Oreochromis niloticus: one gene and its partner. The protein of the gene in region 1 interacts with the protein of each later gene in a pairwise test. Links are inferred from orthologs where the notes say so. Each region holds a gene or a part of one and is shown in the gene's direction. Other genes may lie near its edges.

The links. The genes of interacting proteins can lie anywhere in the genome.
Region 2: the proteins of stx12 (region 1) and snap29 interact in binary tests that used the Homo sapiens proteins (3 or more experiments, as listed by UniProt). The link is inferred for Oreochromis niloticus from reciprocal best matches to the Homo sapiens genes STX12 and SNAP29.

Annotation. Positions count from the first base shown.
Region 1 is NC_031985.2:38,176,148-38,183,127, reverse strand, and holds the start of stx12 (syntaxin-12), read left to right. Parts: upstream 1-3,936; 5' UTR 3,937-4,093; intron 4,094-4,576; 5' UTR 4,577-4,609; coding exon 4,610-4,706; intron 4,707-6,141; coding exon 6,142-6,211; intron 6,212-6,389; coding exon 6,390-6,489; intron 6,490-6,980. Other genes in the region: si:ch211-57n23.4 (immunoglobulin superfamily DCC subclass member 3), read right to left, coding at 2,634-2,682. UniProt on the Homo sapiens protein: SNARE promoting fusion of transport vesicles with target membranes. Together with SNARE STX6, promotes movement of vesicles from endosomes to the cell membrane, and may therefore function in the endocytic recycling pathway.
Region 2 is NC_031977.2:26,077,472-26,084,482, reverse strand, and holds the start of snap29 (synaptosomal-associated protein 29), read left to right. Parts: upstream 1-3,908; 5' UTR 3,909-4,047; intron 4,048-4,128; exon of another isoform or gene 4,129-4,290; intron 4,291-5,616; coding exon 5,617-5,853; intron 5,854-5,992; coding exon 5,993-6,186; intron 6,187-6,516; coding exon 6,517-6,602; intron 6,603-6,686; coding exon 6,687-6,791; intron 6,792-6,885; coding exon 6,886-7,011. Other genes in the region: pi4kab (phosphatidylinositol 4-kinase, catalytic, alpha b), read right to left, coding at 54-120, 283-545, 631-703, 805-893, 1,202-1,295, 1,873-1,989, 3,574-3,771. UniProt on the Homo sapiens protein: SNAREs, soluble N-ethylmaleimide-sensitive factor-attachment protein receptors, are essential proteins for fusion of cellular membranes.

The DNA of each region.
Region 1 (6,980 bases):
ATGTTGGTGGAACTAAAGGAGTCCATCACTGAGTCAGAGGGTGAGTCTGTGTGAATGACACGTGGTGTAGTAAGAGCTTTGAGTGCTGAAGTACCAAAGTGAGATATAAGGACCATTTACCAAAATCAGCAACACCGGAAGACTTAAACGAGCAGAGGAGGCAGCTAAAGAGTATGATCACAGAGTAAGTGTTTCCACAGTTCAGCAAAACAGCCTCACAACATTTAACCAAGTGAGGATCGATGTCGAGGTCGTGAATCAAAATGTTCTCGCATAACGAGACCTCAGTGGAGTCCTTAAACTCCACTCAGTGTACATTTATGTGACATGAAAACTGTCTAAACAGTACAGTGGATTTCAAAGTTAGCATCAGATTATCTACATATTTCTTAACCTGCTGAGGTTACCTATGTGCAGCCTGATCCTGGCCTCTTGGCCTGGGGGCTCTGCATTCAAGGGGTCGATTTTTAATAGGAAGTCAATCAATAAGCTTCAGCTTGTAGTCACATTTGATAAGGTTTGTGTTCACACATGAAGGCTGCAGTAAGCTTTGTTTATTCCAACACAACAGTGCTCATCCACAGTCAGACTGAAGCCTACATGATGATGATGATGATGATGCATCTCTATAAAATAAATGCATTCTTTAATTTGAAATCAGGAGACTTGAAATACTCAGGAAGCTGAATCTCCTAGTTGTCCTGCTTCGTGTTATAAACATGACACAAACAAACAGAAACTGGAATGCAGTGACGTGTTTCAGCTTCAGCAGCTTCATTCAATCACATCGGTGGATATCTTCCAAAATAATTGTGTTTTCAGACAGGAAGAGATATTTTACTGTGAAAGGGAGGATTAACTGTATAATGAGGGGTACCTGTGAAATCCATCATCTGTGCTGAAAACATCAGCAGCAGGTCTGATCCAGGAGCAGCGCGACAGAGACGAGGGACCGAAGCTTTTTAAAACCTTATTATGGTCCAAAGTCAGACAGGCTTTTAACTGAAGCTGTAAATGAAGCTGACTGTGATCCTGTTTCATGTCATCATGCACAGATACACGACCTGCTGGTAGAAAGAGTTTGTCTGACCTCTGTGCTCGTTACAAGCAGCACCGTGTTTCACAGCTACACCTTCTCAAACAGCGATGCTGAAGCTGAAAGACGGCTTTGCAGCGTTTTATCTGCTGTCTCTGATACTAAGTGGCACAGCTGTGATACTCTTCCAGCATAGAAATATGTAAAACAATTAACAGGCCAACTAGTAAATGAGAGTAACTGGGCCCATGAAGGCATTCGTTCACGGTGGCAGGGCACACTGTGGTGCTGTAAACATTAGCCTGAGCTCTCCACAGATTGAGATGTTAGCTTTTGTATGTTTCACTGCAGGAAACAGAGCCACCGGAGACCCATTGTTGTGGATTAAACCAGTGGGATGAACGGAGGAGCGTGAGGGGGAGGGTGGTGGAGGGCATGGTCACAGGCAGCTGGAGGAGGATTACCTTATAGTCACATATCTTTAATAAAGGCTCAATGTGAGCACAGACTGCTGCAGTGTTATGGAGATGAAGGTGTAAGGGTGAGGTCAGTGAAGACTGAGCACCCCCACAGACTTCTCTGGTGACCCTGAAAGCCGACCCCCTCCACAGGGTCAGAGGTCACTGACTCTCAGCTCATTCTGTGCTCTGAGTTAAGGACAGAAAACAAACTGTTTTAAACCTGCTGTGCTTTTCCCAAAAACAAACTTTTTCTGTCTCCAGCTCTGCTGCTCGCTCGGCGGGGTTACTACATCATGACCTAAATATAAATGAAAACTGCATTTTTTCTTTTAGATTTTCAGTTTTATTTGAAATCCTATTTTGAATGTGTAGAAATACAGTTATGTGAAATGTATGTGCTGTGAATACAAAGAGCCTTGCTTAGGCTAATGTTTGTTTGTGGAATATTAACAGTCACCACCCATATTACTCCGTAGAGTGGAGAGGAACCCCAATAATTCACCCCCACCCCCACCAAACTAATATCCATTCAACGCTGAACCATCAGCATTGAAAATGTGTGGGTGGGAGGAAAATTGGAATAATGGTCACTGAATTTACATCAAGTCTGAAACAGGTTTAGTTATATCATCGGTATATTATCGTCAGACAGGCTGGGCTCTTGTTCCAAAACGATAAAGATATTCACTGTCAGTGAGATCTGCACATGGTGTCAGAGTAAGAGATGGATAAACATCTGCAGTGAGAAATAAAGGTTATTAATATTGTGATGTTTTATAAAATGCTGTTGCTCTTTTGGATGAACTCACTTCCACACTCACCAGCTTTGAGTGGGATAATTCTGTTTCTACACCGTGTGACTCTCGTGTACACGTACAAACAAGACAAAACTCATGTCCACCTGCAGCCTGTGCAGGTCAAAACACACGAGGCCTGGTCTTTATGAAACTTAAGGACAAACAAACAGCAGCACTTACCGAGGAGTAGTTTTGTTTATCAAATGACAAAATGTTCTGCCCATTAATCAACACTGAACTGAACTAATATCAGTCTAGAAACTCATAGGAGGACAGAGCAGCAATCACACCATAATGTGTGAATATCTGCCAGTGCAGGTGAAGGCGAGGTCTACTTACTGAAACTGTAGAAGGCTGTGAGCCAGCTGAGGAAGGTTACTAGTTTCATTTTGGTCTCCAGCGTCCTCGCTGTTAAAGCTTCTCAACCCGCAAAACCCCAAAATCCAAAAGAGGAAAAAAGTCAAACGGACAGCCAGTTTCTTCTGTGCTCTCCTGCTGCGTGTCTTCTTTGGTAGGACAGCATAAACGGACACTTTCTGTGTCAGATCATTGCTCCTCTTCTGTCCTTCTCAGCATTCAGCCTCCACAAGGTTCATGTTCAAAGCTGCTCTGAGCATCGAGCGAGGAAGAGACCTCAGTGTGGACAGAGCTCATTAGTTATTCTGCTTCATTGTTGTCAGTGAATGGACACTGACACAGAGGTTTGTGGCAGGTTTGCGTCCTACCAACCAATCACAGCCCCAGAGCAACATAAGGGTGGTAGCTCAGCCCGGGAGCCATGATTGATAATCATTTAAAGAGAGGTCTTCTGGTTGGCCGCTGCCTGATGGACCAGCTGTGGCCTGAGCCCGAAACCCCTCGCAGGCTGGCTGGAGTTGTGATCCTGGGATACTTCCACCAGGCATAAAGAATCCAAGTGGAAAATACTCTGGATTCACAGGAAATCCAGTTTGGATTCAGGAGGGTTACATCGAAATATTCCTTAGCTATGCTGCAATAGGTCATTAGGGCTTTCCATGAGTGTTTCTTCTTCACTTACCTTTTTCATGTGTTTATAGACCACTCTGCATTTCATCATGCTGTTGAGATTTGGCACTGTATAAATAAAACTGGACTGAATTCAGCTGAACTTGTGAAAACATGAAACAAACACCTAAGCTGAGGCAAGTGAGGCCTGGTGTTTGTTCCTTTCATGAGTAATTATGGTAGGCCAGTATTTAAAAATAGTGTGCTGTATTTAGTCTACTTATACTTGTCTGACATTAACATTTGTTTGGTGATATGAAACATTTAAGTTGAACAGATAACTGTTTGTTCTGGAGAGAAGAGGAATGAAAGTCAGTAGAAGCAAGACAGAATACTTGTGTGGGTGAGAGGGAGACAGGTGAACAATCAAGAAATACAGGGAGTGAAGGTGGTTTAAATACCTCAGGTCAACCATCCACAGCAACAGACAGCGCACAAGAGAGGTGAAGAAGAGAGTGCAGGCGGGTGGAGTGGGTGGAGGGGTTATTTGTAGTGAGCCCTACTATGATGGGTGGTTTAGCAGAGGTGGCAAAAGTACACCATTCTTTACTTAAGTAGTTAAGACAGACTAATTTGCTTGATGAGGGAAAGTTTGGGCCACACTCCACTCCAGTTGGTGGCGCTAATGCACCATTTCGCTGTTTGCAACCTCCAATAAATGCCAAGAAGAAGAAGAAGTGACGCAGTGATATCACGGACCAGGAAGAGCAGCGTATTTACTACAGGACGAGAAGCTTTACCAACCTATGTGTTCGTTTCAGACAGCTTCATAAGTAAGTATGGGCTGGTTTCTTTTCCACGGTAAACGCCAGCCTCAGCGACGCCATGTTGTTTCTTTGTCTTATTCATCACACTGTGTTACCGGAAACAACCAACAGCTGACAGATTAGTGTCCCGAAGCTAGGAAGCGAGGAGCCGAGCCCGTCCAGCAGCCTGCAACACCCGGGAGATAAACAGAAAAAGCCCGACGAGGTCGCTGGCTTGGTGATTTAGGAACACACCAAATTAATAAGAGCTTACGTTCCCAAATATGGCTGCGCGTCGGCTGGCACACGCCCAGATAAACTAGCTAACTCGTTAGCAAGCTAACAGCTGTTGTTCCGACTAAGTGCCATTATTTTCAGCTCCGGTCTGCCGTCAATAACTGTACCCGGACTTTGAGACATGCAGCTGTACAAACCCCAGAACCGCACCGAGGAGCTGTCATACAGTGAAACCGAATCGGTGCTTTCTGATCCCTCTCTTTTTCTCTGCAGCCAAAGCTTAAGGTCCAAGGCTCCATCACAAACATGTCCTATGGTAAAGCAGAGAGCCGCTCGGTCCCACGGGACTTCGGCACCCTGATACAGACATGCAGCTCCAACATCCAGAAGATCACACAGAACAGTAAGTGCTTCACTTCCTTTGAAACGGCAGTGTGATGTGGCTGTACTCTGTAACAGCGAAAGGGTCCCATATAAGAAGACCGGTGTTTCTGAGGTGGGGGGTGTTTAACTGTAGTAGTAAAAAAGCATAAATAACTGGTCTCCGAGCACGCTGAGAGCCAGAGCTGTGCAGAGAATACCATTATTTTTATCATGGTGCAACCGACACAGCGAAGGTGAGACAAAATTAATGACAGTGTTTTCCAAACGTCTTCTTTTGCTGCTGGTTCAGATAATTTTGGTCAGTGAGACATGAAACCTGCAGATTCAGAATCTGTGACATTTCCAGCTGTGTGTCCGTGTACAGATGTGGCCCACGGGCCATACGTTTGACACCCCTGCTCGAGGCTTTTTAAATGCCAACTTGTTTTTAGACCAAAGATTTTCTTGTTCTTACAGCTCACGTGTTTGTTACAGTTGTTTGTTGTTTTATTGGTTTACTATTGTGGCTTTCACTTCAGCTTTTTCCACAGTACTGTGCAGTAGCAGAAATTTCTATTAGTGTTCTCTCCAGTGTGTAACACTGTTAAGACATCCAAACTATGACACAATATTTATGTTGTGAGAAAGAATGACACCAAAGCTGGATTTGTGTTGAGTTTCAAAGGAGCTTATTTACCTGTAACAGCCTCACATACGTTATTCTCTCATCCAGCTTCATTAGGCCCTCTCCTAGAGCACTTCATCAAGTGTTCGAGGCTTTTTTTCTTTATTGCCACTGTGTAAACAGATTATAACTCAAGTAAAAAAGTGGCACCTTCCTCGACACTTCCTGTCGCCTTTAACAGGGTGTGGACTGAGTCATATGTGAAAGCTGCAGCAGGATTTTCATTGAATATGAATACATGTTCATGCCCACAATGTCCGACTGCATGTTGATTGTAATATTTTTGGGAAAGATTTACAAAAGTATTGCAAGCAATAAATTGTATGACCTGTTTACCCACAAAGTCTGCACACAAGCGAAAAATGAACAGTTTCTCAAATTAAGGCGTGTCCTTTCTGTGAGAGGCTTTAAGCAGTGACCCGGCCAGGACAACAAATACAAACACAGAATCACCCAGATACACCTGAAAAACTGTACAAGCGATTGAACACAACAGCCAGATCATCACTGGGTACTTTTCACTTCCTTATATCGTTGTTTATGTGTATGTTCTGAAATCCCTCAGCTTCTGTTTCAGGTCACACTGATGATGATGATGATGATGATGATGGCTCATAGCAAACACACGTGTCTGACACAAATGTGAACATTAAGAAGCAGCATCAAACTGTGATGACTACAGATGATGTCATCTCTGTATAACTACCAGGAACAAAGTGCAGCTTCTTTCTTGTGTCACTTGTATATTTTTCTTCCAAAACTGAGTGCTATCATTGTGTTCCCATGGCAGCGGCTCAGATAAAGACCATGGTGAACCAGCTGGGGACCAGACAGGACACCAGTGAACTGCAGGATCGGCTGTATGTACCGATATCATCTCCTCTGCTAAACAAACACACTTTCAGTCACCTTCACTTTCTCAGAGCCAGCGCTGCCACGCTGTAGCGACTCTGTTGAACTGTCCTATAAGAAATGTATTTGTGTAATTATTAGAAGGTCTTATGGTCTGTCTGCTGTTTGAACTGTTGGTGTTCACAGGCAGCAGACACAACACTACACCAACCAACTGGCAAAAGAAACCAACAAACACCTGAAAGAGCTGGGATCAATCCCTCTGCCCTCATCGCCTTCAGAGCAAGTAAGTACTCGTTTACATGTCCTAATGAAAGTAGCACTGTACTGATTCTTCTATAGCTTACAGTCACAGCACTTTCTACAACATGCCTCATTCACCCATCCAAAGTTCCCACTGCTCCTCCTCCTGAGCTACAGCCACCTAACAATGGATGATGTCAAACTGTAAGATAAATATGCACACTAAGTTTGAAAGTGTGACTATGGAGCCTGTTCTTACAGCACAGGCTGAGTGATGCTGACAGACCCACTTGGTTTAATTGGAATTTCATTCAGCCAACATTGTGGCTCAGGACACACACACACACACACACTCAGGACACAGTGTGTACAGTATGTCATCATTCGTTGACATTTCATGTGTGGTGAAGGAAAAATTACTTTGAGACAACTGCAGAGTTTAGCTTAACAAATGGACACATACAGCTGAGATATTTTTGCTTTCAAAATCAGGATATTTTACTGCTGACTTTTCCAGTCTTCTACTGTCTCTCC
Region 2 (7,011 bases), on another chromosome or scaffold:
TAAAAACTAAGACACAATTATTTTTAAAGTAACTTCTGTTTCTTCAGTTTTACCTTCCAAGTAATGTGGACTAGGAGTTGTAGGAGAGCAGGGTGAGTGGCCTCCTGGATCTGTACTGATCTGTTTGAAAGCACATTACACAACTTTAATGGGTAACGAAACATACCAACATCATTGAATAATATAAATTAACAAAGCAAATAAAACTATTATTGCTCTGGATTCTCCCCTAATTATCCTGAACAAGCAAAACACGTCTTGAATCCGGCAACATGTACCGACCTGTGCAGATGAATCTAGGTTGGTCCCGGTGCGTCTGCGCAGAGTATCACTCTGGCACACTGTAAGCAGTGAGGACGGTAGAATAGAACGAAAGTCATTGAAGGATCTGCGCCGTACACCCTCTGTTTCCTCTGTAACGCATCGTGCCTGAGGAGAATCTTTGGGGAACAACTTGGATAACAGAGCTTCATCTGTGTGGCTGTAGCGGCCAAATGCCCGAGTCATGCCAAGCAGGCTGGGAACAATATACTTGCACAGGAAGACTGCAGACAAAAAAGAGCAGCGTTAAGGTTCTTTTTTTTGTTTTAAAAGCAAAAGTCAGAATGTTTGTTGCATTTCTATCTATACCTTTGTCATGATTATCCGGTGTTTGGCACATATCCTGTAACGCCTGCATGACCTCCATTATAGTGTTTAAGATCTATAGGGAAAACAGTGCAAAAACAGTGAGTTAGCACTTCAATGCAATGCACCCCAACCCTGAGAATAATATAACGATTTATCACCACTTTTTAAACAGACCTCTTGTCTTGAGTCTGGATCCCTCTGAGCCACATCTGACAGAAGAGTCACTAGACAGAAGCTGAAGTTTTCTGCTACAGGGAGAAATTCTGAGGAGCAGAAAGTTACACAGATACAGTTGAATTGAATGCCTCATAAGGTTGAACAAAAGAAAAGAAATAATGATAAGCAGATTTGCCAAAAATGTAAACATCAGATACAGAGCAACACAGCATTAAGTGGAACAGAAGCAGCAGTTCACAATATGCAATTCAAGTATAAATTAACCCATCTGTCCAGTGTAATACATCTCAATACAGTACAATTAATTAATAAGAATTGCTAGAAATTCTACTGCCACAAGTAAAAGGAGTCTATTGTAAAACTAAAAGCCTCACTATAAGAGGATTCTTCTTACCCTTTCCTTTCTTTCCTGAGCTTTCTTCGATCCATTGGACCCGTGGCAGCCCTCTCAGTAGGCTCAGCAAGTAAGAAACAAGTATGTCTTTGTGCTGCAGGAGTAAAACAAATCATTACACACCACAAACAAGTGGACTCGGCAGCATAAAATCAGCACTTTTGCATGCCTGACAAGCACTGACGGATCAAAACAACGAGGTTATCTCACACAAGCAAATCTGGGTCAAAGAAAGTGTATCACAGCTTTAAAAATAAAAGTAAGGCATCCAGCACTATGCTGTCAGACAGAAAGGAAGCTTTCCCAACTGTGTCTAAGTGTGATGAGGTTAGCGGCTTACACGGCTAACTGCATGTCTAATCGCCAGCTTAATCAGATTATGAGAATAAGCTTATCACAGGGATACATGTAGAGTCCGAGGAGAGCGCAGGAGCAAACGTGGACTAATAGTTCTAATACAATATTACAATTACTATACCTGTGAAACAGAGTTTGATAAGCAGTTAGGAAAATAGAAAATTGGTATTGTGTCAATATGCAATGCCAATACTTCACTATCTAATGACCTAAACTATGAAATCTTAAATCTACTGTATTACCATAACAGCTTGAAGTAAAATGAAAATACTGTATTCAAAACACTCCTCAGCCTTTTACTGACAACCACCCACCTGTAAGCCAGATTCCACCAAAAACACAGCCAGTGCAATAACAGCATCTCTGCGACGCACATCCAGAGTGAACACACCACGGACTTCCACTGGACACATACATTGCAGCTTCTGGACCTAAAAGGCCAAAAAAGAATATTAAAGTAACAGTCCAGGCTGGTAATATTCACACATTAAGCTGATTTATCTCACTTGACAGCCCAGTGTGTTTGTGTCACACAGCATATGAAAACATAACACTACAGCATTAGACAATATGTCAAGTGTTAAAAACTGTTTGTATAGAAGCTTGTTTCTGCTACTGAAAAACAAGCATGTGTTACCATCCATAAGTCAAAATTTGGGGGTTATTTTCTCAAGTATTACCCTTAATAACTTGAAATTTCAAGTCATTTTCTAATAAGTATGAGTTACTAAGTAAAAGTTTTGAGATAATTACCAAAAGTTTTGAATTACAGATAGCAAAATACTTTTTTTCAGTTGTGGAAGCAAACTTCCAGATGTTTCAGAGTGAGTGTATGTTCAAATGAAAGTAATATTTGTTAAGACTTGCACTGTTCAATTAAATTCAACAACACTAATAGAGAGAAATCCCCAACAATCAGACAACCCTCCCTTATGAGCAAGCACTTGGCGAAAGCAGCTAGGAAAAACTCCCTTTTAACAAAAATAAACCTCAAGGAAAACCAGACTCTGGGAAGGGCAGCCATCTGCCAAGACAGCTTGGGGGTGGGGGGTGGGAAACAGGACATAAGACACTGTGGAAGAGAGCCAGGGCTTAATAATAACTAAGGGTTAAAAGTAAAGTGAGATATAAACACAGGGACAGTGAAAAGAAAAAGAAGAAGAAACATGGTGCATCATGAGAAGCCTCCAGCACCTTGCCCTATTACAGCTTAACTAAGGGATGGCTCAGGGTCACCTGATCATCTACCCGATGACATCTGGAATCTGTACACTTTTATGCACACTGTGTAACCCAGCAAGCCAGAGATATTAAGATACATGCATTTATGATATCAGATAAACTGCTAGGCAGTTTCCTCCCTACAGCTCAAACACACAGTAGAACTGGGAATTACATAACATAACCCATAATAGCCCTTAAAGTTACAACACTTGGTGACAGCTTATTGATAATGGCTTCATATGTTCCCCTCTAATACCCTTTACTTTCATTTACAAAATGTACCCATTGTGTTTTGTTTTGTTTTTTTAAAAACCTTTCCTATATTGGCAAGACCCAACTATCAATCTGCAACAGGTTTCCAACTATATAACACATGTAGGCGGATTTTGATAGCAGTAAAGACAAACAGAGCAGCCTGTGAATGAACTCCTGTCTCAAACATTTCTCTGTAAACCTGTTTGACTGCAGTGCCGATCAAGCTTGACCGCTCTGTCCGTCCGATGCAGTAACAGGCACCACACAGCAACGCCACTTTCCTCTGCACTGCCCACTTTTCTGCTTCAGGGTTTTGGACACCACGGCTCGCGTTTTAGAGATTTCTAACCACGGAGTCGCGCACACAAACATACAAACATAACTGTTAAATGTTAGCTTGGTTGTCATGTCGTTGATCAAAATAAGCCACCGCCTGTGCGGAAGCGCAGCTACACCCTGAACAACCCTGCCACTGCTTCTAATTACTAACATGGTTAATTATTGCGTGTTTTTGGAGCTCAAGCTTGTTTTCTCACCTTTTCGACCGGTGCGGGGCGGTGTGCGGCCAATGAGCGGGCCAGCGACAGGACTGTATTAAAATAAAACCCCCTCGTACCACCTCCCATTACGGACATGTTTACCCCTACATTAAACCAGCGCAATTCATCGCTGAGAGGAAACAAGCGAGCGGGGCTGCCTGGGAAAGCCGCAGTACGGCAACTCAGCAGGGACATTTCTAACAGGGGCTCTTCGTTACCGTAGCAACTCACTCACAAAGGGCTTGAAATAGATCAAATTAAGCAAATGTATGGATTGTATTTATATTATTTACATTACAACCTGCGTGGGTTTTTATCAGTAAGTAACCCCAATATCGCCGTGGTGTGCGTTTCCTTTACGCAAGATCAGCTGTCGCGACAGTGTGTGTGCAACGTCATCAAACGCGATAGGAAGAGTTCAGTCAGCTGATAGAGCAACAACAGCGTCTGCCACGGCTCCTGTGGTCAAAGGTTCGTCTGTTAAGTTAATCGTTCTTTTTTGTGTCTTTTTTTTTTTTTTTTTACACTTTCGTTTTAGACAGCATTTGTTCAATAAGAGAAAATTGCCTGTGGTGACGCTTGCGGATGTGGTCGTTTTAGTTGACTGGCAGTTAAGCTAACAGTTGACTAGCAAACCAACACCCCGGCGATACATCAAACATTTCTTGACTTGCAATACTGTTTTATTTTTCTCCTCTTAATATAACACAGCAGGTATTGTTGCAGATGATTAATGTGAAATATGTTGACAAGCCTAACTGTTGCTCGAATTACTTGTTGGACAACGTTGAAGTTAGCCGAAGCTAACACGCTGGAGCTTTCGTAATCGCACGAGTTCAGACAAGTTTCGAAATGAACAATTAACCTTCTTTTATCAACAAAAACTTATTGTTGTAATGAAACTAATTATTATCTAAATAGCAGATGTATTATGTTACGCATCGTTTAATTACCGGTATTCAGCTATCCGATCCCAAAATATAGTACATAACTTTTCTTCCCGACGAGGTGCGATCTATCCATCGATCTATCCATTTTCCTCCGCTTATTCAGTTCATGGAATTCAACATGTTGTGCCAAAGAGTGGACTTAAAACTACTTGGTAATCAAAATATTACCAAAACAATTAGCTTCGAAAGCTGGCTTAAAAAGCAGGAGCAGTGTCCTGTGTGTTAGCTCTGCATTTCTCCCTATGACTCGTGAGATGGGTTCCAGTCTAACGCATGACCCTGAATTGGATAACCAGAAGAAAATGGATGGAATGGCTAGATATGTGTGCAGATGCCTGTGCTTAACTGAGCCTGGTTCTGCCGGAGGTCTCTTCCAGTAAAAGTTGAGGGCAGGGGAGAGGAGGGGATCCCCTCTGCTTACACGGAGGGGATCCCCTCTGCTTACACAGAGGGGATAATTTGGGTTATCTCTCTGCTATTATAGGCTTTACCTTTCAATGTAAAGCACCTTGAGACAACTGTTGCTTTTGCGAAATTAGTTGAAGTCACAATAAACAACACTCAGACTGTTTGAAGGATTTAATCAGTGAATAAGTGAATTTAAAAGATTATCAAGTCTTGGGAGACAACGTTTAAGAGGCGTGGTTGAGATGGTTTGGATATGTGCAGAGGAGGGATATTAGATCCATTGGACAAAGCATGTTAAAGATGAAGCTGACAGGCAAGAGGAAAAACAAGAAGACCACAGAGAAGATTCATGGATATAGCGAAGGAGGACATGCAGAGGGTTTATGTGGCAGAAGAGGATGCCAGGGAGAGGGTCAGATTGTGGCAGATAATCTGTTTAGGGAACCCATAAAGGGAGCAGCTGAAAAAAGCCAAAGATCATCAAGACTGGAACCAAATATCTAATCTTTTATTAACCTGTTTATAGTTTTATTGTGTTCCAAGAAGTTGTTTTAGTTTTAAGCAATCTAAAATCCATTATTTACAGGTAACAAAAACATGTAACTTGATGATCATGTGATACAGTTGAAAGGCTTATAGTCCTTTAGCTAAAATTACCAAAACATTCGTTTTTGCTCCACAGATGGCCTACCCTAAATCCCACAACCCGTTTGCAGATGATGACGAGGAGGAGGATTTCAAGCCTAAAAGTAGGGGGTTTGACGACGAGCCAAGTGACAGCGGGTTGAGTGAAGCAGAGAGGAGGCAGAGATGTCTCCAGCAGGAAGTGATGCGTACAGCGCAGTCTGCTGTGGATAGCAGTTACCGCTCACTTTCCCTCATCTATGAATCAGAGAAGATGGGTGTGGAAACTGCAGAGGTATCTTAAATGAATAAGGTTCACACTACTGTACAAAGAATTGACACTGTCTTTGAAAAGGCGACAATCAACAAAGAGTTATTTTTAAAGGCCCCGTCTTCCCATACCTCATCCTGAATTAGTCCCTTCTTGTCTACAGGAGCTGATGCGACAGGGTGAGGCTATAAAGAGGACAGACAAGATGCTGGATAACATGGATCAAGACCTGAAGACCAGTCAAAGGCACATTAACAGTATTAAGAGTGTGTGGGGCGGCCTTGTCAATTATTTTAAGGGAACGCCAGAGACAAAGCCACCACCTGAGCAGCCAAAGGGCTACAAGGCCAGTGAAAGGTAAGTTTGTTTTTATTCTCTGTGTCAGTGAGGTGTGGTAGCATCATCCAGTTTTAATTTCTGCATGTTTTAACTCCTTAACAAATCAAAGAGTTCTGTGATATAGAGGAGTTTCAATATATTAAAGTTTGATATGCTGTTATGTGTAGGGGCAAGTTATCATATTTTACAACAAAGCATTAAAACAGTTACTCTGAATTTGTGTTAAAGTAATGTTAACTTCTTTTAGAAGTTCAGGTAATTCATTTTTGTTTTTTACTTTCATGCGTACAACTTGTTATTGACCGTCTCTCCCTAAATGTTTGAACAATTCTTATCTGACTTTCTCAGATTACAGACTGCCTTGGCCAGCAGCAGAGAAAATGAAGATAAGTACCAAGCTAGCCACCCCAACCTAAGAAAACTGGATACGGGAGGTAAGTGTTGGAACAAGAACCTCAACATTACGCTATCTTCCCACCACTTACTGGCTCTCACTATTTCTTATTTCATTGTTTTAGGATTTGGAGCTACTGCATCAATAGATGATGGCTCATCTCAACAGAATGGATACCCTAAGAACATATACCTGAAGGAGGCTCACCAGACTCTTGACAAAAATTTAGGTAGGGAAATGCTGCACTTATTTAGTTACATAACATGTTTTTATATAAAGTTTGTCTGCTGTAATTGAACTGATGTCTTTTGTGAATGTCTTAGATGAGATGTGTGTAGGCTTGGGTAGACTGAAGAATCTTGGACTTGGTCTGCAGTCTGAAATTGATGGGCAGGACGACTCCATTGATGCTCTGCTAAATAAAGTGGACAAAATGGATACAAAGATCC